Rattus norvegicus: one gene and its partners. The protein of the gene in region 5 purifies or fractionates together with the protein of the main gene of each other region. This does not show direct contact. Links are inferred from orthologs where the notes say so. Each region holds a gene or a part of one and is shown on either strand. Other genes may lie near its edges.

Region 1 (4,008 bases), on a different chromosome or scaffold from region 5:
TAATAATCGCAACTACTTAATTATAGTGCTAACTCATAGTATGACTCAAATGCAGCACAGCTTTTAATGGGAAAAATAAATTTAATATGGCTGGCATCTCCTCTTAGTTCTGTTTAAAACCACAATAAAGACCCTAAATTAGACCAGACCCTAGATTACCCTTCCACTACATTTCTAGCATCCACCCACTCCCCAGAACCCCTTAGCAAAGCAGTCCCATTGCAGTTCTAGGAACTTCGGAAATTAGTAATCTTCAAATCACAAAAGCCTATCCCCTTCTTCGACCCTGCCCTTCCCCTTCCCCAGTTATCACCTTTTCATTTCATTCATTTGCTTATTTTTTGAGGTAGGGTGCCCGCCGGTTCAGGATGACCTTGAACTCCTAACTTGCCGCTATCCCAACAAGTGCTGAGATTACTGAGGGCGCACCAAGCTTTTCTTTGACTCTTCAGGATCAGCTCATTCCCATTTATCTGTCAGAGATCACTCGGACGCCATCTTTGTTTGCACTAGTCACCCAATAGTCACTTAGCAAATGAATGCTCTCAGATGTTACCAGCACGCTACAGAAACGTGCAATTCTATATCGAAGAATTCTTCTTGGGGTTGGGGATTTAGCTCAGTGGTAGAGCGCTTGCCTAGGAAGCGCAAGGCCCTCGGTTCGGTCCCCAGCTCCGGAAAAAAAGAACCAAAAAAAAAAAAAAAAAAAAAAAAAAGAATTCTTCTTCTCTAGTAAAGGAATGCACCACTTCTAAGTGGTGAGGATTAAATGTTCTTGGTATAGCACACCAATGTATAGTTCTTTGTGTCTGCCACAAAGAACTACCATTTGAATGCCTATTTCATGTCCTAGTTATACTGACATAGGCTTGGACATGAAATGTTGTAAACAAAACCCGACAAAATGGCAACTGTCCTTTTCATGTATCCACAAGCCACTTGTCACCTTCTAGTAAGCAGCAAGTAGTTGCTGTGGATCTATTACATGCAGAAGTCCTCACTAGTTATCATTTAACAAACAGGACACAGAACTCAAACGAATCATGACAAAAACTTACACCAACATCCAGAAAAGGAAAGAATGTACAAGCAATAGAGTATCCACGTAAACTATTCAGGTTTTGCTTACAGTAATAAGAGACAACCTCAAGAACAATTACTGGTGGGACAAAGTGTGGTGGCCCACACCTGTAATCCCAGCACGTGGGAGACTGAGGCAGGATTATTCTCTCTGCTTAACCAGCCTGCCCTGTAGTTAAAGCCTTGTCTCAAAAACAAAACAAATGAAAAGCAAGAGAGACCACACACACGCCACATACACATACACATACACATACACATACATACACACACACACACACACACACACACACACACACACACACTCTTACCAAAAAAACAGACTGATGGATGTTCCATTTGCTAGGTTTCACTTTTGTTTGGAATTCTCATAAAGAAACTTAAATGTGATCAGGGCAGAGATAGAAAACCTATAGTCTCACTCAAATGGGAATTCCACAGATATTCCCCCAGGTTCTTTCCAGTTCATAATTAATTTTGTAGCTCTGAAAAATGGTCCAGGTTCGTCTGCTTCTCAACCAAACCAAACCCTGTATTTACTAACTAGCCTCTTACCAAAGACTACTAGACTATACAAATCATATTACCTACTATTAGAATAGAGAAGAGGATATGGGCTCAAAACTATTTCCCCCATCAAATCCAGAGGTTGGGTCCCAGTGAAGTTTGTGCTATTACACTTCATTGGTTTTAGTAGGAGCAGAGAGACCTCTAGCGCTACCTCAATAAGCAGAGTTTGCAAATAGTAGCTGCTAATGTCACCTTAATGAGACAATGGCAACATGCTGAGTAGCAGCAAACTGAGTGACCACAATGAATGTTTACAGTTTTGCAACCACTTGGAAAATCTACTAGCTTGGTGGCATGTGGTATACACAAGGACGTAGGAATCTATGTATCCAATTTATTTCTGCAAAACAGGTCAAAGAAATTATTTTCCTATTATTCACACTTCCACTCCAAAACGTGCTTTAGAAAAAAAAAAAATCCCAAGATCAGAGGTCTGCACAACCTCCTTCCCAAAGCTTCAACACAATAGACGGTAAACTATTGTCCACCTTTAGCTCGCTCCAAATGCCAGCAGTCACAGGGGTATGAGCTGCAACAGCTCGGGAAGACTGGTCCAAAGGACAGCACTGGAATATAAGAAAATGGTCTTGGCGCATCCTACCCTCCCCCATCCACCACCCTCAAACAAGTCAGTTACCCGGCTGGTCCCCACCCCCCTCTGAGGGCTGCCACCGCCCGCCTGGGCCCGGCTCGCACAAGGTAAGCGCGGGGACCCAGGCTCCATGTGCGGCAGCGCGGGAGGCTGCACCGGCTGCGGACACGAGCGGCGGCCCGGCCCCGGCGGTGCGGTCGGCACGCGGGGCGGCAGCATCCCGGTCCGTCCTCCCGCGCGGCCCGCGGACCCCGCCTCGGCTCCACATCCCTTCCCCTCCGACGCCAGGCCGCGCCCGCGCAGCGGGGCCGAGCGCTCAGCGGTCCCAGGTGCCGCGCTAGCCGCTCAGAGGGCGGCTGCTGCCCGGGCCGCGGCGCCCCGAGGCGGCGGCCAACTCCGACTGACCGCCAGCCGGCGAGAGCCAGCGGCCGCGGGCCCCCGCCCCTCCCCGCCCTACCCAGCCAGCCGCGGAGCACACTCGCCTCCACATCGCGGCCCTTGTTCTTGAAGCTCTTAATGCGGTGGTTCTCCAAGCCGGGGTTCTCGGCCATGGCTGCGCGCGGCTCCGGAGGCGGCTGCTCCTGCGGCGGCGGCGGCGGCGGCGGCGGCGAGTCGAGCGGGAGGGGACGGAGGGGGAGGAGCGCGCGCTCCGTGACGCTTGGAGCGCGAGGTGGCCGCGGCGCGGGGGCGGCGCTGAGGAAAGGCGCGCGCCGGAGAAGGCCGGGGCGCTGGCCTGCCGGCTGTCGCGTTGACCCTACCCTCACCCCTTCGCCGGGCCTCCCCACAGCAGCTAGTCATGTGCTAGAAATGGAGCCCGACCTAGCAGCTTTTACCGCCACCCCTGAAGCGGGGCGGAGGGCGCAAACTACAATTCCCAGATTGCCAGGCGCGGGTCTGAGCCACGGTGTGAGAGGACGAGAAGCATGCCGGGAGGGCTGTGCGCGCGCTTTCGGCTAGGCGCTCTCTGAGCGCGGGCTCGAAGCCCCACCTCTGGGCGGGCTGGTGGGCGGGGCAACTCTGGAGATGGCACCTTGCAGCCTATCCGGAGAGAGAGGCGGAGCTCCGGGGGCGCACCTTGCTTTCTACAGCTTCGAAAATTAGAAAAAGAACGGCCACGCGTGCTTTGCGCTTTTGGCTTCTTTAGGGTCTCCTCAAATAGCAGCCACCCTCAAACCCTGTTCTCTGCTTTGCTTCGGTTTTATAAATAGCACGCTTGTTTCCACTCCACAAATACATGTGAGTGTGATGTGTGTGTTTATGATTGCTTCCTGCACCCGCTATTAAACTCAATGAGAAAAGAGACACTGTTGGTCTCAAAAATCTGTCAGATCAAAACAGTACCTAGTAAATTCTGATTTTAAAAAAAAAGTGTTCTAGCATCCCCTGATTTCTCCAAGCATCCTTGTGCAACCTTCACTTTGGCAGCCCTACCTTTCTATGACCTGATGCTTTAGTCTACCTAACACAATGTAGCCTTCAGGACCTAAGTCTGCAGACTCCAGATTGTCAACTCCCTTTAGCTTCCTGTTGGAACAATAACAGTTTTTTTGTTGGTTTTGGTTGGTTAGTTGGTTGGTTTTGTTTTTGTTTTTACAGCAAGATAACCTTATTAGATTATATATGAGTATTACATTTCAGAATTGTCTTAATTAGGGTTTCTGTTGCTGTAAAGGGACACCATAATCATGGCAACTCTTATAAAGGAAAATATTTCATTGGGGCTGGCTTACAGTTCAGAGGTTGAGTCCATTGTCATCATGGCAGGA
Region 2 (3,500 bases), on a different chromosome or scaffold from region 5:
ATGGTTGTGAGCCACCATTTGGTTGCTGGGAAGTGAGCTCAGGACCTCAAGAGAACTGTCAGTGCTCTTAACCACTGAGCCATCTCTCCAGCCTAACTAGACTTTCTTAAGCCACATTGTTACATAGTTGTACAGCAAGTTCCAGTAAGGAAAAGATTTCTGTTAGGATACTTCGTACAATTAAACCTGCACTTTCTCACATAGGAAAATGGGCACGAATCTTTTATTTTTACTCTGTAGATCCCATGAGAACAGACTTTATCTTGTTTTTCCTCAATATCTTCTGAGTATTTTCTTGGATTGCTATATTTATTTCTTTTTTAAAGGTCCTGAGATAAAAAGTACTGTTTGGTTTTCATGATAGTAGTGTATAGAGTAGGATGAGACAAACACTGTGATCGCTTTAAACATACCACCCTTTGACCCTTGTCTTTTATATGCCCCAGTATGCATAATTTTGGTTATTTTGAAAACCTATTAATTTCATTTTTAGCAGAGTTAATGTTTTGTTGAGTGTGTCTAACTTTTTTTCTGAGTTTAAAATGATCTATGAACATTGCACATAAAAATTTTTAGTTGTGCTTAGCACAGTGGCACACTCCTTTAATTCCAGCACCCAGGAGGCAGAGTAGTGAGCTTGAGGCCAGCCTGGTCTACATAGTGAACTCCAGGACATCTGGGACTACATAGTGAGAAACTATGTTTAAGAAGCAAACAAACAAATACAAACAAACACGCACAGAATGTGCTATGTTTAAAGTGATCATAGTGTTCAATTCATCCTAGTCTATACACTCACTATTAATTATGAAACATAATTATTATAACAATATTATACAGCAACTTAAAAAGGAGTAAATACAGAAATATAAAAAAATACTCAAAAGACATGCTGAAGATACCGAGGAAGATAAGATAAAGTGTTTTTATGGAACTTAAACAAGAAAAAATAAAAGCTTGGTGCCTATTTTTCTATTTGAGAGACAGGAGGTGTCTTTTATAGTTGCCCTATTCAGAACTGTGGTGAGAGAGTAGTGTTATGCTAATAAAAGTAGCAAAGTTTCTACTCTATTTTTCTAGTTATTTGTAAATTTAATTTATTAGTTGATCTTCATGATTAGAGAAAATATTGTATAAAGTATAAGTAGCTTTCCAAGAATACTTATGCCATCTCTTCAGATTTACAATGTCTATATCCAGTTTGAATTTAATTGTAATACATGTCACTAAGTTTTACAAGTGGTATCTATCTTACAGGAAGCTTTTATCCAGTGATCGAAATCCACCAATTGATGACTTAATAAAATCTGGAATATTGCCTATTTTAGTTCATTGTCTTGAAAGAGATGACAAGTAAGTATATAATTATTATTATTTTCAATTTCAGTGTGTTCCTTAGAAAGGGTAAAATTTCTAGTTTAATCTTTAAAGGGAAAAGACTCAAAAAGTGGAGGTAAGAGGTTTAGAAGTCCACAGTGATACTTGGCTAAACATAATGAGTTCAGTGGCAATTCTGGACACTAGAAACCCTGTTTCAGAAACCAAACAAGTATAGTGATATATGTGTGTGATCTGAGAAGTTAGAAAGCCTCAACTCAAGGCCTGCCTGGGCTTTGTAGGGAGAGGTTTTCTTTTCTTAAATAGGACTTACTTACTTAATTAATTATTTATATGTATGTATATATATATACATATGTGTGTTGCCAATTAACAAAATTTGTATATGTATATATGTACACTGTTGCTGTTTTCAGACACACCAAAACAGGGCATCCCATTACAGGTGGTTGTGAGCCACCATGTGGTTGCTGGGATTTGAACTCAGGACCTCGGGAAGAGCAGCCAGTGCCCTTAACTGCTGAGCCATCTCTCTAGCTCAAGAGAGATTTTCTTTAAAAAAGAAAGGAAAAGGTTGTGGGATAGAATTGAAAGTTAAAATCAAGGTAAGAACCAAAAACAAATTTGAAAATTATTTTTAACTTGTAAACTTTGAAAACTGGCATGATAAGTAGTTGAAAACTAAGGAATAATATAAAAGTAAATATCTAAGTAAGGAAGTCTGACTTTCAGAATGGAATAATTGGGTTATGTTTTTAAGGCTGGAAAGACATTTCAAATACTAGAGAGAAGGAATAGTTGGTAGACATGTAGGTGATATGAGATGTATGGTTTAAAAGTCACTTGTTCTTTGGTAGTCCTTCTTTACAGTTTGAAGCTGCATGGGCTTTGACAAACATTGCATCTGGAACGTCTGAACAGACGCAAGCAGTGGTTCAGTCCAGTAAGTTGCTAATTAACAAAATTGTAATTTTTTTTTTTCTTTTCATTGGTAAAAAATAAACTGTTTTGGCCAGACATGGTGGCACATGCTTTTAATTCCAACACTTAAGAGGCTAGCATAGGAGGAGGAGACAACTTTCACCGACTCCCCAAGTGCAGATGTTTCAACTTGACTTTGGATTTTTTATCATTGCTCTGTTTAGTATCCAAACTAATGAGATAAAGGAGATATTTTTTATTATGACCATAATTAATCTACATAATATAAATTATGTAGTGTTCTTCAGAGTACTGTCCAAAGACAAGTCAAGAGTCAAGAAGAAGAGTCAAGTCAGAAGTGCAATGTTAGTCTGCTCAGATATGTAGAAACCTATTTTTGTGTTTTATCTTCCACTTAAGCAACAGAATTACTTTCTGACTGAAGAACTCAATGTTCCCTGACAATCAATAGCCTAATGAATCATATCATGTTTTTTTCTTCTCTCTCTTTTTTTAAAGATTTTATTTATTTATTTTATATATATGACGAGTATACTGTAGCTGTCTTCAGACACACCAGAAAGTGGGATCAGATCCCATTACAGATGGTTGTGAGCCACCATGTGGTTGCTGGGAATTGAACTTGGGACCTCTAGAAGAGCAGTCAGTGCTTTAACTGCTGAGCCATCTCAAGCCATCTCTCTAGCCCTGATTTAAATTTCTTATCCAAAAGTTTCATAAGCAAGGCAGGAAAGATGGCTGAGCAGGGAAAGTACCTGCTGCCAAGCCTTATGACCTGAGTCTACTCCCTGGGACCACATGATCAAAGGAGAGAACTGATTTTTGCAACTTGTCCTCTGGCTTATACACACATAAACACCATATACAATATACACAGCAATATATACCACACACACAGATACCCATACACAATACTGATCCATACACACCACATACATACCTCTATAGTACATGTACGCAATACTTAGCCATACATATCTATATGCCACATACATACACAGAGATATACATACACATGCCACATATTCACACTTACATACATATACCCACATACACAGCCATACACACCAATACACACACTCATACACTCTATCTAAATAAATGTATTTAAAAAAATTACCTGAAAAGTCAGATTTTTTTTTTTGTTTGTTTTTTTTTTACTGATTTTGAAGGTAACACTCTAAGGAATGATTCTTGAAATTGGGCTTCAGTCTGAGCTA
Region 3 (3,500 bases), on a different chromosome or scaffold from region 5:
GTGACTTTATACCAGCTTCATCGTCCCACAGGAACCCTCACCAGGGAAACCCGATCTCTCCATTGGGTGAAGGTTCTGGGGCACATGTCCTCACCATGGTAACTAAAGTGTCAGAACCACAGGCAATGCTACAGGAACAGCAGGCATGGATGCAACATTCACCTCGGGGCACTCGACTGTCCGGGGCTGTCACAAGGCAGGACGGAAAAGGCCAGCGACTGCTCTTTGCTTGCGTGTGCTGGTACATGCTGTCATGCCCGCGAGGTCACAGGCTGAGACCAGGGTCTTCCTCCATTGCTCTCCATCTTAGCTTTTAGGACGCGGTCTTTCCCTGAACCTAGAGCTTCCTGTTTGGGCCACACAGCCTAGCTAGCAAGTTCCTTTAGCTCTCCCTGCCCACAAGGCACACAATGGAATTGGAGATGCGGGCTGCCACTCAGCTTTAATTTGGATGCTGCGGCTGCAAATGCTGGCCCTCACTACTTGCATAGCAAACGCTTTATCTACAACCATTTCCCAGCCCCAGGGTTGTTCTTGATCTCCAGCTCCAGGACCTTTTCTCAGTACAACTGAGCACAGGTCTATACCACTGTGGACATCAAGGCTCTGGAATCTATCTATCCACTCACAATCCCTGTCTTCCCAGGTGACAGACTCCAGCTTTCTGAAGACCCTTGGAGTTAAGATAAAGAAACCCCAAGTCTCAGATCCTGTCACTAAGCCACACACCCTAACTATAACCAGAGCCTCACCAGATGTGACAGTTCTCCCACCCTCCACTGTCTCTCCCCACCCCAGCCTCGCCTTACCACGCCTGATAAGAACTGACAGGCAGACAGCCGTGGGTCACACTGTGGTACCCGGGTCAGGTAGGAGGATGCGGAGAATCACCTGCTCTGAATGAATACTCCCGTAGCCAGGGCTCAGGCTGGGACACGGAGGAAGGGTCTCACGGCGTGCACTCCCTATACTACCACTTGTGCTTCTGAGACAAACACACTGTCCCGCTCCTTCACCTAGGAAGGGACACGAGCGCCTCGTCTCCCAGGGCTTAGTCACCTTTTCTCTGAATGGGAACATGCATGTGCTGGTGAGATGCAGGCTTAGGGTCTGACTTAGAAGAAGAGAAGCCCACCTGTCAGCTGGTCTGCATCAGTAGAACTCAATACAGGGCTCTGGGTCAGCCCCAGCCCCACACTGGACCAGCAGAACCAGGACACCTGGCCTCTGCGTGCCAGCGGCGGCACTGCACGCAGCAGCAGAGCCAGACAGGATCGCCTTTTCGAAGTCTGCCAGCTCTGGAGATATGGGAAAGCAGTTTCTTCCCACAGTCCAGAGGGTCACAGCCTGGAGCAGACGGAATCTTTATTCTGCTAACGGACAACATGGCAGCCCAGCAGTGCCAAGGTGACGGGGTGTCCAAAGCTGCTTCCTCAAAGTAGTCTGTCCAAACAGCAAGCACCAGAATGTGCCCACAAGGAGTGGGCAGCCCAGTCCACACAGGCCAGGATGCCCAATTCAGTGTCCCCAGGCTCAGGCAACCTCAAGAAGGCTTTGCTGTGGGTTTAGGCTTCTTCCCCCTGTGCTTGAAGTCACGCAGTGGGTTCTGGGTCTTCACCTTCTACAAGGGCAGAGTCGAAAGTCAGTTTGGGGAATCAGTCAGACGGTCCCAGCAGAGTGAGCAGTGCTGGCACCTGATCAAATCCCTGTGCCACAAGCCAGAAACAGCCAGCGGCTGCAGACAACGTGAGGGAGACCACTGATGGCAGAACAGGGCCTTCAGGCATCTGTAGGGAATACCACAACCCCACACCCACTCCTGGGAGTCCTTTCCCTCCCTCAGACTGCTGAAGGTGGGTGAAGGGCAAGGCGGAAAGGAACCCTGCTACCAGGAATGGCAGGAGACATACCTTAGCCTTTCTAGAGAAGGGCATCTTTCTCCGTTTCTTTCGAGGATGTACAAGGCCACGAAGAGCGGCAGGAACTGGAAGAGAGGCTGGACTTCAGGGATAGCCTCAGCTATTCAGCTGTAGCTTCGGCTACACAGCTCTGTCTACTCCGGGAGCCTGGCTTCCAGTGTTGGCCCACTCCCTTCTCAGCCTACCCTGTACACCTACAGCACGGACTCCAATCCAGCCCAGCAGCCGTGGTGCACACCTTTAATCCCAGCACTCAGAGGCAGAGGCAGGAGGATCTGAGTTCAAGGCCAGCCTGGTCTACAGAGTGGGTTTTAGGACAGCCAGGGCTACACAGAGAAACCCTGTGTCAAAAAGCCATAAAGAAAGTAAAGAGTTGGGGGGCGTGGACAGAAGGCAGAGGAGTATCCAGTACTCATTTATTACACGTGCACAGATGAAAGATTAAAGTTAGCTCCATAGGCTCCCACTGCCTATCTGAGTCATCTCTGTAGTATTTAGTGAAAGGACACAAAACAAGGAAAGAGAGGGGCTGCAGAGATGGCTCAGTGGTTAAGAGCACTGGCTGCTCTTCCAGAGGTCCCCAGTTCAATTCCCAGAAACCACTCGGTGGCTCACAGCCATCTGTAATGGGATCTGATGCCCTCTTCTGGTACGTCTGAAGACAGCAACATATAAATGAAATAGAGAGAGAACCTATGACATATTCAGCAGCAGCAGAGCATGTGTATAGCACAGAGGGGTGGGGGGGATGACACCTTTAAGGATGAGGCATTAAAAAGAGAGAATTCGGGCTGGAGAGATGGCTCAGCGGTTAAGAGCACCCGACTGCTCTTCCAGAGGTCATGAGTTCAATTCCCAGCAACCACATGGTGGCTCACAACCATCTGTAAAGAGATCTGATGCCCTCTTCTGGTGTATCTGAAGACAGCTACAGTGTACTTATATATAATAAATAAATAAATCTTTAAAAAAAAAGAGAGAATTCAAGGGTTGGGGATTTGGCTCAGTGGTAGAGTGCTTGCCTAGCAAGCACAAGGCCCTGGGTACAGTCCCCAGCTCGGGGGGGGGGGGGGGGGGGGTTCAGAGGGTGGTTACTGCCCCTCCCCTCCCCTCTATATCTACCAGAACTTCAAGATCTCGAGATCCCAGCCTCACAGCACCCACTTCAACCCCATCAGGACAGGCCACATCTAACCCTTCACGCCTCCCCTGGCCACGCTCTTAGTGAGCGACTTGGCTCTTAGCAGGTGCTTTAGGCCGAAGGGAGCCTCCCAGCATTTCTGACACAGACCAAGGGTGATCTTCTCTGGCTCACTGTCCCTCAGCACCTGCCTCCAGCCCTTTCCTGGGCCCTTTCACACTTGCACCTCTTCTGCCCTAGTATGTCCCTCCCTTACCTTCCTGTCATCTTTTTTGTTTTGTTTTTTTTTTCTCTACATAGCCCTGGCTGCTGTGAAACTTGATCTGTAGACCAGGCTGGCCTCAAACTCACACAGATCGGCCTGTCTCTGCCCCTGGGTGTTGGGATTTCCCAGCCCTGCCTGTTACTCCCAAGGCAGCAACATGGCATCAGCAAACTGA
Region 4 (3,500 bases), on a different chromosome or scaffold from region 5:
GGGCTGGCTCTCCCCTCCCCTGCTTTTGCACATTCCTTCAGCTCTCTTTTAGAACTGCTCACTGAAAATATGAGTCGAAGGCAGTTTCTGTCCCCTCCCCCAGCAGATTAACAGATTAACAGTCTGTTCTCTGCTGGGTGGAAGGAGCCGTTGCCACTGAGATGGACTGGGAAGCACAAAGTGCTTAGTTCTAATGCTTCACCAGGTACAAATCCTAGCAAAAATGAGGCATGGTCATATCAATGAAAGATAAGATAGTAGTTTCGGAAAATAAGCAGACAATATAAGAAAAATTTCTATTACTGTTACCACTTCTTATTTGAATGAACTGAAGTCTGCTTAAGTTATTAGCAGGAAAGAAAAAATTACTTTCAAATATATTCTTGATAGAACTTGACTTGAATGTTCATTTACCTTGTCTACACCAGCACTTAGGATGAAATTTCCTTTCTTATTCCATTTTAATGCAAATATAGGACCTTTATGCTGCCCCAAGGTGCTGGCAAGATTACCTAAATTAAAAAAGAACAAACAACAACAACAACAACAAAAAACTTTAAAATTACTTTAAACTTTATAACTTAGAACATCAATAAAGTTAGAAAAATTCATACCATCTTTAGTCCATATTCTGGCAAATCCGTCATATGACCCAGTTGCTAGAAGTGTACCTTCACTCTGGCAGAGAAATACATTTTGTTTATTACACAATCCAAAAGGCCATTTAATTACTACACACACAGTGCCTGTTGAAGTTCTGGGCACAAAAGACCCAGATCTCTGTGTGAGTGCCAACAAAGGCTGGCAAAACCCTGCTCGCAGATGAAGCCAGTGTCCTCAGACAGCCCACCCAAGGATGAGCACTGGCAGGCAGCACTGTGGAGCAGGACTGCAGTTCCTCCGCAGAACATTTTCACAGAGGACCATGAGTGAGGATGCAGCAGGTATAGACCAGGAAGGACAACATAAAAATGATACTCTGAGGATGCTTTTTATAAGAGGTAAAAAGTAAAGCCTTCAATTTATTTTTAAATTTTGATTAGGATTTTAGGAATATGGAGCCAGGTTGAAGCTAAAATTGGGACCTAATCTCCAGATTATAGTATGTCGAGTCCTCAAATGTCTTCATTCACAGACCACCTATGCAAGAAAAGAACACTCACATTCCAATCTAGAGAGGTGACATCCTTGTTACTGGGAACGTCCTGCCCTCCTTCCCGTATGCAGTGTCTAAGCACCAGCTGTGTGGGGCCACTTGTGCTGTTCTCACTGAGGTTCCATATTCTTGCAGTGGAGTCTCCAGACCTTCAGAGTCAAAATATCAGCTCAAGTCCTCATATGAGCAAGCATTCCACAATCTAAGCCACACATTTAGCATGAATAAGAAGTAGACTACTGGACACAAACATTTTAATATTTTTCTTATTTTATATTTTAGAGCTTCTACTAAGTAACAACTTCACAAGAAATACTAATCTACCAAGGCAAGATGATCATAAGCAATCAACAGAAGTGACTATAAAGTGAAATATATTAACAAAAACATGTAGCAGCCTATTTGGTGAGGTATTCTTAAATACCACGATAGTGCTGGGCATGGTAAAGCCCAGGACACAGGTGGGTCAACACGTCAAGTTAAACAGCAAATCCTGTCTAAAACCAAACAAAATGCTCAACAACTAGAAAGCTCTTTGAAAAACCTACCCTGATGCCAGGAGATCACTAACAGGGTTCCAGGCACAGATGAAAACTTCCGATTCATGGCCCCGAAGCACAACCGCTTTATTGGGAGGGATTTCCACATCCCCGTCCACCTCCATCATGTCCGTGTGATTATCTGCATCGTGAAAAGTAGCAGTTCTGTCAGAAGGGAAGCACATGTCTGGCAAGTATGACGTGCTAGTTTTAAAAGTGTGAGTATCCCGGAATGTGTATGTGAAATGGTAAAAAGAAAGGGGGAAAAAAGGTTATACCTCAGCAAGGCTGAATTAAAGTCTGTAACAATACTATTCTGAGTTCTGCCAGTAGGGGTTGCTGCTATCATTCATACAGCACGAGTCATCTTTATTCCTCAATGTCAGAGCCTTGTTGGATGTTTGTAACAGAGACTATTATAAATTTTACTTAGAAATCAAATGCAGATGCAAAATGCACTTAAGAGTAGAAAAAGGCTTCAGAAACATTTAAAAAGGAACGAACATTCAGTTCATTTAGCTTTTGGAATCTTAGGTCTGTAATCTGAAGTGTGTTGATGCCAGTTGGGGTAGAGGCAAACACCGGTTATCAGTGTAGCTTCTAAGGGTGGGCACTACAGTAGAGCAGTGTGTGCTGACCATCTCCAAGCATTCTCTGCTCACTTGCGATGGTGTGTGCTCCATTCTCCTCCCCATTGGCTGTGTTCTCTCCATTTTTCGCAGAGCCTTGCTGGTTAGTGGCTGCGGCAGCAGCTGCAGCAGCGGCTGCATGTTGCTGTGCAAGCTTGTCTCTGTAGGCTTGTTGTCTTGTTTGGACGACATCGGGCATGACAGCATCTATCAGGGACAGAGACTCTATGGGTCGACCATCAAATAAGGTGCCATCCTGGGGTTGAAAAACAGGGAAAGAAAAATGAGATGTAGTTGTCAGGTTGACATATACTCCATTAACAAAACGAAAAACTTCATTCTGAGGAAACCATGAACATGAGCAAGAAGGGGGAAGGGAGCAAGAATGGCACTGCAAGAGTCAAATGCAAACAGCCACCAACTGTCACCTAAGGTCCTCATCAACTCTGCACAAAGACAAACCAATACAAGAGGCCATTGGCAAAAGGTTAAAGATAATAAAATGCATACTATAACATTCAGGTAAGGGAAGCTGCTAGTAAGAAACACTGACCAATATGAATATGTCATACAATGAGAAGAAAGTACCCAGTACTTGCATCTGCATTCTGCACCCAGGCCTTGGGATGATGCACCTATCCTGACCTGGAGCAGATCTTTCTCTTATGGGTTTTCTCTAAACACTACAGGATGATCATATCATATAAGTGATCTAAATGCATGATATTGTATGACATACAAATGATATTAAGTGTAACCTAAGAGAACCAGCAGATAATGCTAGCTATGGTGGTGTAGGACCTATCCCTTAGGAAAACAAGGGACTGGACTACTTTAAAGAGCTAAAATCTTTTCACTTACTTTTACCAAAAAAAATGGGGGGATGTGGGGAAGAGACCTTCTACATATTCTGTGTTCTGGCCATACACTAAACATTGTAGCTACAACAAAGTTCCACTCAGAAAGAACATGCAATGTGTGCTTATTAATGCTTTGAAGGGCATAACAGCCTTGTTACAGTTCCTCATGATCCCAGTGACAGTCCAGAAGTAAATGAGTCTGGCTGTGCTACAAGGCTGATTTATACAATCAGGGAGCAGATAAGATTGCCTCAGGCAACAGTAGCATGCCTATACCTGAAACAAACACACTACTTACACATGCAGCTCTGAGCAT
Region 5 (3,159 bases):
CCAAGAGTCCTATATAGTTTCTCCTGCGTCACACCTCCCAGTCCCTCAGATTGGGAGTTGGGGTGGTGTAAAAGTCAGGGAAGCTATGGACAGGGCATCAGTGGCACCAAAAATGGGAGTGTCCTCTCAATTGCCCTCTCTAATGAGCACACAGGGGATAGGGGTGGGGTGAGGAGGGAGGGGGTTGTTGTTGTGGGGAGTGCCTGGTCAACAGCTTGTCTGGTCAGTAGTATCTGCAGCAAGCCTTGTTGAAGGAGCCTAGTTTAGAAAAGTGCAAAGCTACTTCTGGCCCTGGTTAGGTCTTCAACCTGACTGTGCTTGTCGGTAAGAAAAACATCCCAATGCTCCAACTACTCCCACCCCGAAGCCACGAAACTCTAAGTTTACTGAAAGAAAAAAAAATATTTTTTATTTCAGTTAATCGGGAAGCTTTGTCAGAGCCCTACCCATAAGGAGAAGAGACAACAGCTGCCTTTATTCTTGTTGGTTTGCTTTGCAATCCGCTCTATGTAAAGTCAGCTAACTCTCTCGGTCACGGGCGTCCGGCTGTCCACAGGCTCCTCTCTGTTTGGCCTCGGCATGGAGGATGAAACAATGTCTTTGCGCTCTCCCTCCCCTCGGTGTTTGTACTTTTCTGCAACTGTGGTGGTGGTGGTGGTGGTGGTGGTGGCGGCGGCAGCAACCATGGGCTGAGTCTTAGCTGGCTCCTTGGGGCAGCCATCGCTTTCCAGTGAGCCTGCTCGGGGCATCTTCTCCTCTTTGCAGATGCTGCTGCTCAAGTCCTGAGGCTCAGGGGGGCTGATGGGGTCCTCAGAGCTCTGAGGCTCAGGTGGGGGTGGAGGTGGAAGCAATGGCATGGGGGCCTTTGGGGACTCTGCGTGATGGTGGTGATGATGGTGCTCCTTCTTAGGTGGTGAGGAGGCACTGCTGCTGCGCCCCTTGGGGCTGCTCTCCTTGCTTTTACGCCCAGGGCTCTTGCATGTCTTCAGTCCCTTTCCACTCTTCTCACCAAGTGTAGACACCAGCAGGGGCTTCACCACCTCCTTGACCTCAATGCTGACGGTTTCCCGGGTCTTGCGCTTCTTGATGGGGAGCACAGTCTCCTGCACAGACCGTATAGAAGATTCCTTCACAGCTTTCTTTTTGGCCTCTGCAGCAGCAGCTGCCACCACACTCCCAGGCTTTCTACCCCGTTTCTTAGGAATGGCCTGGGGGTCAGCTTCAGCTTTTCGCTTTCTGCCAGGGCGTTTGATCACCATGACCTGCGCAGATGTGGTAGCCCCACCTCCCTCACCCTTACCCCCAGGTGATGCTTGGAAAGGCATCTTGACGAGAAGTTTCCCAGGGCTCTTCTCCAGGACCCTTTTCACTTGAACACCTTCTGATGCTGCTGCCTTTGGTCTCCCAGTGCCGCTCCCTTTCGGGCGTCCCCGACCCCTGCCAGTTCCTGGAGCTTTGGGAGATTTGGGCTTCTTAGGTGGTTTCTGTTCTCTCCTGGAAGGGCTCCCTCTCCCAGTTACAGTGAAGTCAAAATCATTAGGGTCCAAGGAGGTGTCTCCCACCTTTTCAAAATATGCAATCAATTCTACTTTAGAGCGAAAGGCTTTTCCCTGGGGACTGTAGAGACAAACAGAGAGACAAACAATAGTCAGAAGCTTTTTGATAACGTAGAGACTGACTTAGAAAATGTAGTACTGACAAGCTTTCTTCTAAGACATTGTAAATGAACAACAAACTGAAGTGCTAAAATTATTGGAGGGCACACCTAGGTCAGATGCATAGTAGAAATCATGTTACAGCTTGCTCAGAAGCCAATGCAGCTGAATCTGAAAACAGAGGACCTGCCCACTTTCAAGCACACTTCTCTGTACTTCCTGCTTCTCCACAATACTGAAACCAAACGGGTGAGGCCTGGTACTTGGTGAACATTGGGCTGGGTCCAATCTGTTGGTTGGTACCCAGACTTAACCCAACACCAACACATTTCTGCATTTTAACCAAGGCATGATGTCCAGCCTCTTTGGGAAGCCATTTCAGTGCAATAAAGCTTTTGCATCCTAGCCTTCCCACCCACCTGGCCTTCCCTGTTCTGTAGACACAAGACTTGCTCTTACTTACTTGATCAAATATACATCATACTTTCCAGCAGAGCGACCAGACTTCCTCTGTTTAAGCTTTCGCGTCCAACCTTCAGGCAAGGTGGGGTCATCATACATAGGTCCCCGGTCACGAATGATGGAACGTCGCTGTTTGGGAGAAGCAGAGGCTTCTGGTACTGCTGGGGCAGAGCCTGAGCTTTCTGATGTCTCTGCTTTGCCTGCCTCTGCTGGCTCTGCAGAATGGTGGGCTGAAGGCTGTAGTGGTTCATGTTTGCCCTCTTTGTCTTCCTTCTTGTCTTTCTTCACCTTCTTAAACTTCAGGGGTTTCTCTTTGAGGCCCTGGAGATCCTGGTCTTCTGACTTTTCCTCCCTGAAGTATTAAACAAATATGTAAGTATTACAGAGAGCATAGCTGTCTGCACAGTAGTGAGTATAGGTGAGCTTGAATGCCACACATGAGACCCCTGGCTGCTGCATACTCTCTCTGATTTTGGTAACTTCCCTAGGACAATGTATCTTTGGGCCAAGCTGGGGCCCAAAGATTTCTTTAGCAGCTTTAGGTAGTTGGTGATGTTGGTCAAACACATTCAACTTTTATCATACTTCTCCAAACCCTAGTTCTAATGCTCTTAAAGTGGCACATGTTTTTTTTTTTTTTTAATTTTTTTTCTGGAATATAAGCACTGTAGGGCTGGCTTCTTAACATACCACTGTCAGAAGTCAGTTTGTAAGTTGCACCTAATGGCCCCTTGGGCTTGCCACATGACAAGACAAAACATGTAAGATAAATAAAATAATACAGCAAAGCCAGAAAAGGGCATTGGATCTCTTGGGACTGAAGTTACAGATGGTTGTGATCCACCCTGTGATTGCTGGGAAATGAATCCAGGTCTGCTGGAAGAGTAGCCAGAGCTCTTAACTTCTGAACCATTGCTTCAGCCCCCTGACTTTCCAATTCAAAGCAAGGACTGCAGCAAGAGATTTCAGCAGTGTAAGCCCCAGTTTCCTCATCTCAACATTAGATAATATAATCTCATCCCTGATGCATTCTTTTTGTGAG
Region 6 (4,300 bases), on a different chromosome or scaffold from region 5:
CTTGGATAATGTCAGGTCAATAAAGTCCTATGATTAAAGAAAATAATTAAGATGAAATTCAAACACATGTACTTTCTAGCCATTTGCTTATAACCATAAAACATTAGTCCAGTACTATATGGTTTAAACTACAAAACTTATTTTTTCAAAAATCAATTGTTTTATATACAACTTGGGTCATCTTTACAGTTTCTGGCCCTTATGAAAACTTGCTACCCACCACCAACACTAAGACAGTTGAGAGACTCGCCACACTCCTCAGGAATGCCTGACTGAAAGGGCCGGTGCTGGTGGTGTCCTTTAGTGCCAAAGCCCTGCTTTAACTATGCCCTCACTCAGCCCCTACACCAACCATGACCAACCAGGCCACACCTTACAAACACCCAGCCCCATCCATCCCTGATAATGAGGGCATGCTCGACGTGTCCAGCCACCCCCAGGACCCTCGTTTGGAGTGGCTGAAAACCCTGTGAATACTCCCAACTGATGGAGGAGGCCCCTCCCTAGTCATTCCTATAAATCTGCCCAATGTAGAGGAAAGGACTTGCTAATGGTTGCTGAAATATATTTTAACCCATGTTTTTTTAATACTATTTTAACTTGCAAACTCCTAAGAAAACTCAAGAATAAATCAGAAGAAAAAGAGACAGTTCTTCAATTTCAAGGACATTGTAGTTGTGATTTTAAGGGGTTATAAAATGAAAAATCTAAAACCCACCATCTAAAATTCCCTATGTATGTTGAGGAGACTGAGGATTTGAGCTATTTGTCCCTATTCACTTTTACCCAACCATACAAAACTGTTCTCCTTTCCCTTGATCACTTCCATTACCTCAACAATATTGCTCGTGTCCTGTAATAAAGGATAGAATGAACAACAATGGTGGACAAAGCAGTGAACTAGGCGCCAAGATCCCGTGAAGCAAAACCAAAGGCAAGCAGGTAATCGCAATAGTCTGCCAGGGATTATGAAGAGCATGAACACTCAGGCCTCTGTTCCTCCCCTCTGTTCCTTACCATGGTCCTCACATCTTTAGGGAGACAGTAAAAGTTGCCTACTGAAAAGTTTCTCCAGACTCTCCCTTTTATCAGCATGTTTTTGTTTGTTTGTTTTGTTTTTCTGAACAGGGTTTCTCTGCCTGTAGCCTTGGCTGTCCTACAACTTATCTTGCTCAGTGTACACCAGGTTAGCCCCAAACCCAGAGATCTCCTGCCTTTGCCTCTTGAGCACTAGGATTAAAGGCGTACATCAACACTGCCCTGTTCTCCCTACATTCTTATGCTATCCCAAATCCCTGATACTTACAGGAGTTTACAGTCAGAGTTTCTCCCCACACGCCCTCACCACAATAGCTCTCAAACAGATATCTGAATTCATTATAAAGTGGTACAGTGCTTGTGTATAGAAGAATCCACATACATATGTCATATATTTAGGGAATGTTAGTGCATGGAGGCTCATGCCTTTAATCTTAACACTCTGAAGCAGAAGCAGGCATATTTCTTTAAGTTCCAGGCCAGCCATGTCAGCTTAGTAAGACCATCTCCAAAAAGAAAGAAAACAAACAGATAAACAACAAAAAAGGGAAAATAAAGTCTGTGCACATTAAATGTGGATGCAGTTTTCAAATAGTGTTCTTGGTCTGCGGTTGGTTGAATCTGGATTTGAACTCAAACACAGAGGGCCAAATGTATTTCACACAGTTCTCCATGATACTGCAGTGGGTCTAAATGCATTTTGTTATTCCTTCAGAAAATGATTCTTAAAGACGTAGACTATTCTTTTGAGTGTCTATACACAGAACCTAGCACACACTTTTACAAAAATACCCCATACTCTTTAGACTTGAGTTATTTCCAACCACCGAAGGATTCCCATCGCCTATTAATACATATGCTAACTTAATCTGTTTTCTAGCAGCAGAACTCCTTCAGGGCAACAGAGACACATGCTGCGTTCAATTCTTTACTAGGTCAATTATATTAACAAAGTTCAGAACAAGCTCTTTCATAAAGGAAGATATCGAAAATACCCACACTGCTGTAAATTTAATGACAGTGACATTGGTTCCTCTAGTTGATCCTGCGATTCAATGCCCATGGCTTGCCAAAGAAACACGTGTATCTTTTTAGGTTCTTTAGCCTAACTAATAATACTCGACATTTGGAAGGAACGTATCTTGCTACGTCACATAAATTTGGCCTTGCGTGCTTAAAACCAATTGCATTTTCTAAATCCAACGACAAATGACAACTACCTAGAATTTTTTAGACCGTGACAGCACGAATCAAGTTTTACTTAAAAGGGAGGATACTACGTTGAATCTAGAATCCTAAAGCAGGGGTCTCACGACGCTCACCACTAACCACTCCAGGCTTCCTGCCTTGCTCCTTACTGCGGCCAGCACCCAGACACTTTGTCACGTCGGCAGGGCACAGAAGAATAATAGGTCCTGGAAGAGTTCTGAGGTCTTGGAGGGATTCTAGGATTCAGGGCACCCATGGACAGAGGGAGAGGGGTTTGGTTCCAGAGAGTGTGACTGATCTCCGAGAGTGCCGAGGACAAAGCCTAACAAGTGGAGCTCGGGTCTGAGGGCCGAGTGGATCCAAGGCGTCCTCCCTCCCCCGGTCTCGGGGATACAGAACTAAACCCTCCCTGGAGACTTGTCAGGGGAAGGGAGATAGGCGGGAACGACCTCGATCACCCCTACCTTGGCTGACGGCACCACCGTAATCTTCTTGAAGTTGTAATGCGCCATGCCGGCGGTGGAACGCACGAGGAAACCTGGAGAAGCGGAGGACCGGACTTCCGCCGTCAAGAGCGGGCGGGACTTCCGCCGGCGGGGTTGGGCGGGACTTCCGCCATTCGGCTTGACTGAACTTTAGCTGCAGGGCTCAAGCATTGCATCATTTCCTGAATGTCTGCGAGGCGTGGCCCGCGCGTCCGCCCGGACGTGCTCCTCGACAGCGCCCCCACTCGGCCGTGAAGTCCGCGGCCGAGAGATAAGGAGACCGGATGAGCTGCTGTGGAGATCGGCTGGGTTTGAGAGGTGGAGGGTGGGGAATAACCTTGCGGGGTGAAGGAGATACTCCAGGCTGGCCACCTTGGCGGGGTCTCAGGAAACACTCCCCTCACCCAAGCAAGCCTCAGGGCTCCAAAGGCTGTTCGCCACCTCTGGGGACGCCGTGGTCAGGGCAAGTGACATGCAGGAAGACATAGAGCGGGGCTCTTGCATCACTGTGTGTCCCCTGAGCAACAAATGCTGTCGCCTGGCACTGTGGAAAGTTATTTATTGGAGTAAATAATGTTGACAGGGACTTCTGACGATAGAAAAGACTGCATCCTTCCAGGTGGCTCGAGCTCCCTCTCCTGACCTTGCAGCCTCGCGGTGGTTTGAAGGCGCTCAGCCTTCATCTGGCATGGGCCAGTGAAAAAAACTGCCCCGCACAGCTGCCCTGAACCCAGGACCAGGACATAGACAGAGTCTGATCCGTACAGAATTACATGGATTGAAGCCAACTTTCCCATATTTGTTTTCCCTATCATTTTAATTAAGCCACCGTTTTTTTGTTGTTTTTTTTGGGGGGGGGGTTGTTTGTTTGTTTTTTTGTTTTGGATCCTTGGGAATCCTGCCAGCCTCCATCCAGCTACTCTTGCCTCCTGATTATCTTGTAACTTAAATGACCCTTTTTCGGGTATTGCTGTCCCCTTCAAACCCTTCTCCCTATTTCTGTGACATCCATCATTTTGGTACATGATGTCTAGAATCCAGTCTTCTTTGCTAATTTCCTGCTGTCTCTCCCTAACTAGATACTCCTCAAAGTTCTTCCTCTTCAGAGTCTCCTTTCTGAGTGGTGGCTTCACAGCTCCCATGTGGACTACTATGATACAAGTTTCTTTCAGCCTGGTTTCTTCCTCAATTCCAATCAGACATTTCAATCAGAAGTGAAATCTCCACCCCACATGACTCCAGAAATGTAAATTAGGTATATCTGAAAATAAAGAGCATTTTCTGCTTTTCTAACTAAATGCATCCCTCTGTGTTGTTGGGAAGGACAGCCTCACACTCTGATTCCCACCAGAGTTCAGAACAAGGCGGACCTAGAGCCAAGAGCAAGATTGACCAGAACTAAAGACCTTGAAACAAAGTTAGTAGCTGAGGCCTTGGGCAGAGGTGAGGCATAAAGAGTGGTCCCACTGATGATAAATCCCTGGAACAGGAGCAGAGAAGGAAAATTATGGGATAAGGCAAAAGAGCTGCATGTGGTCCCACACAGTGGGTGAGCAGAATCTAGGGAT

The links.
Region 1: the proteins of Mecp2 (region 5) and Kpna3 purify together in Homo sapiens (affinity purification with mass spectrometry; 3 studies listed by BioGRID and IntAct, counting the BioPlex papers as one, with this or other methods). This does not show direct contact. The link is inferred for Rattus norvegicus from reciprocal best matches to the Homo sapiens genes MECP2 and KPNA3.
Region 2: the proteins of Mecp2 (region 5) and Kpna4 purify together in Homo sapiens (affinity purification with mass spectrometry; 3 studies listed by BioGRID and IntAct, counting the BioPlex papers as one, with this or other methods). This does not show direct contact. The link is inferred for Rattus norvegicus from reciprocal best matches to the Homo sapiens genes MECP2 and KPNA4.
Region 3: the proteins of Mecp2 (region 5) and Ddx56 purify together in Homo sapiens (affinity purification with mass spectrometry; 3 studies listed by BioGRID and IntAct, with this or other methods). This does not show direct contact. The link is inferred for Rattus norvegicus from reciprocal best matches to the Homo sapiens genes MECP2 and DDX56.
Region 4: the proteins of Mecp2 (region 5) and Tbl1xr1 purify together in Homo sapiens (co-immunoprecipitation; 3 studies listed by BioGRID and IntAct, with this or other methods). This does not show direct contact. The link is inferred for Rattus norvegicus from reciprocal best matches to the Homo sapiens genes MECP2 and TBL1XR1.
Region 6: the proteins of Mecp2 (region 5) and Gtpbp4 purify together in Homo sapiens (affinity purification with mass spectrometry; 3 studies listed by BioGRID and IntAct, counting the BioPlex papers as one, with this or other methods). This does not show direct contact. The link is inferred for Rattus norvegicus from reciprocal best matches to the Homo sapiens genes MECP2 and GTPBP4.

The regions. Positions count from the first base shown.
Region 1 is NC_086033.1:39,783,328-39,787,335, forward strand, and holds the start of Kpna3 (importin subunit alpha-4), read right to left. Parts: upstream 2,801-4,008; 5' UTR 2,794-2,800; coding exon 2,725-2,793; intron 2,718-2,724; exon of another isoform or gene 2,262-2,717; coding exon of another isoform or gene 2,139-2,261; intron 1-2,138. UniProt on the Homo sapiens protein: Functions in nuclear protein import as an adapter protein for nuclear receptor KPNB1. Binds specifically and directly to substrates containing either a simple or bipartite NLS motif.
Region 2 is NC_086020.1:155,656,252-155,659,751, reverse strand, and holds part of Kpna4 (importin subunit alpha-3), read left to right. Parts: intron 1-1,257; coding exon 1,258-1,353; intron 1,354-2,195; coding exon 2,196-2,281; intron 2,282-3,500. UniProt on the Homo sapiens protein: Functions in nuclear protein import as an adapter protein for nuclear receptor KPNB1. Binds specifically and directly to substrates containing either a simple or bipartite NLS motif.
Region 3 is NC_086032.1:85,326,263-85,329,762, forward strand, and holds part of Ddx56 (probable ATP-dependent RNA helicase DDX56), read right to left. Parts: intron 1,985-3,500; coding exon 1,911-1,984; intron 1,622-1,910; coding exon 1,544-1,621; 3' UTR 1-1,543. UniProt on the Homo sapiens protein: Nucleolar RNA helicase that plays a role in various biological processes including innate immunity, ribosome biogenesis or nucleolus organization. Plays an essential role in maintaining nucleolar integrity in planarian stem cells.
Region 4 is NC_086020.1:106,831,665-106,835,164, reverse strand, and holds part of Tbl1xr1 (F-box-like/WD repeat-containing protein TBL1XR1), read right to left. Parts: intron 2,581-3,500; coding exon 2,358-2,580; intron 1,838-2,357; coding exon 1,705-1,837; intron 1,306-1,704; coding exon 1,164-1,305; intron 679-1,163; coding exon 615-678; intron 513-614; coding exon 415-512; intron 1-414. UniProt on the Homo sapiens protein: F-box-like protein involved in the recruitment of the ubiquitin/19S proteasome complex to nuclear receptor-regulated transcription units. Plays an essential role in transcription activation mediated by nuclear receptors.
Region 5 is NC_086039.1:156,940,744-156,943,902, forward strand, and holds the end of Mecp2 (methyl-CpG-binding protein 2), read right to left. Parts: intron 2,470-3,159; coding exon 2,119-2,469; intron 1,618-2,118; coding exon 516-1,617; 3' UTR 501-515; downstream 1-500. UniProt on the Homo sapiens protein: Chromosomal protein that binds to methylated DNA. It can bind specifically to a single methyl-CpG pair. It is not influenced by sequences flanking the methyl-CpGs.
Region 6 is NC_086035.1:65,997,883-66,002,182, reverse strand, and holds the start of Gtpbp4 (GTP-binding protein 4), read right to left. Parts: upstream 2,801-4,300; 5' UTR 2,760-2,800; coding exon 2,712-2,759; intron 28-2,711; coding exon 1-27. UniProt on the Homo sapiens protein: Involved in the biogenesis of the 60S ribosomal subunit. Acts as a TP53 repressor, preventing TP53 stabilization and cell cycle arrest.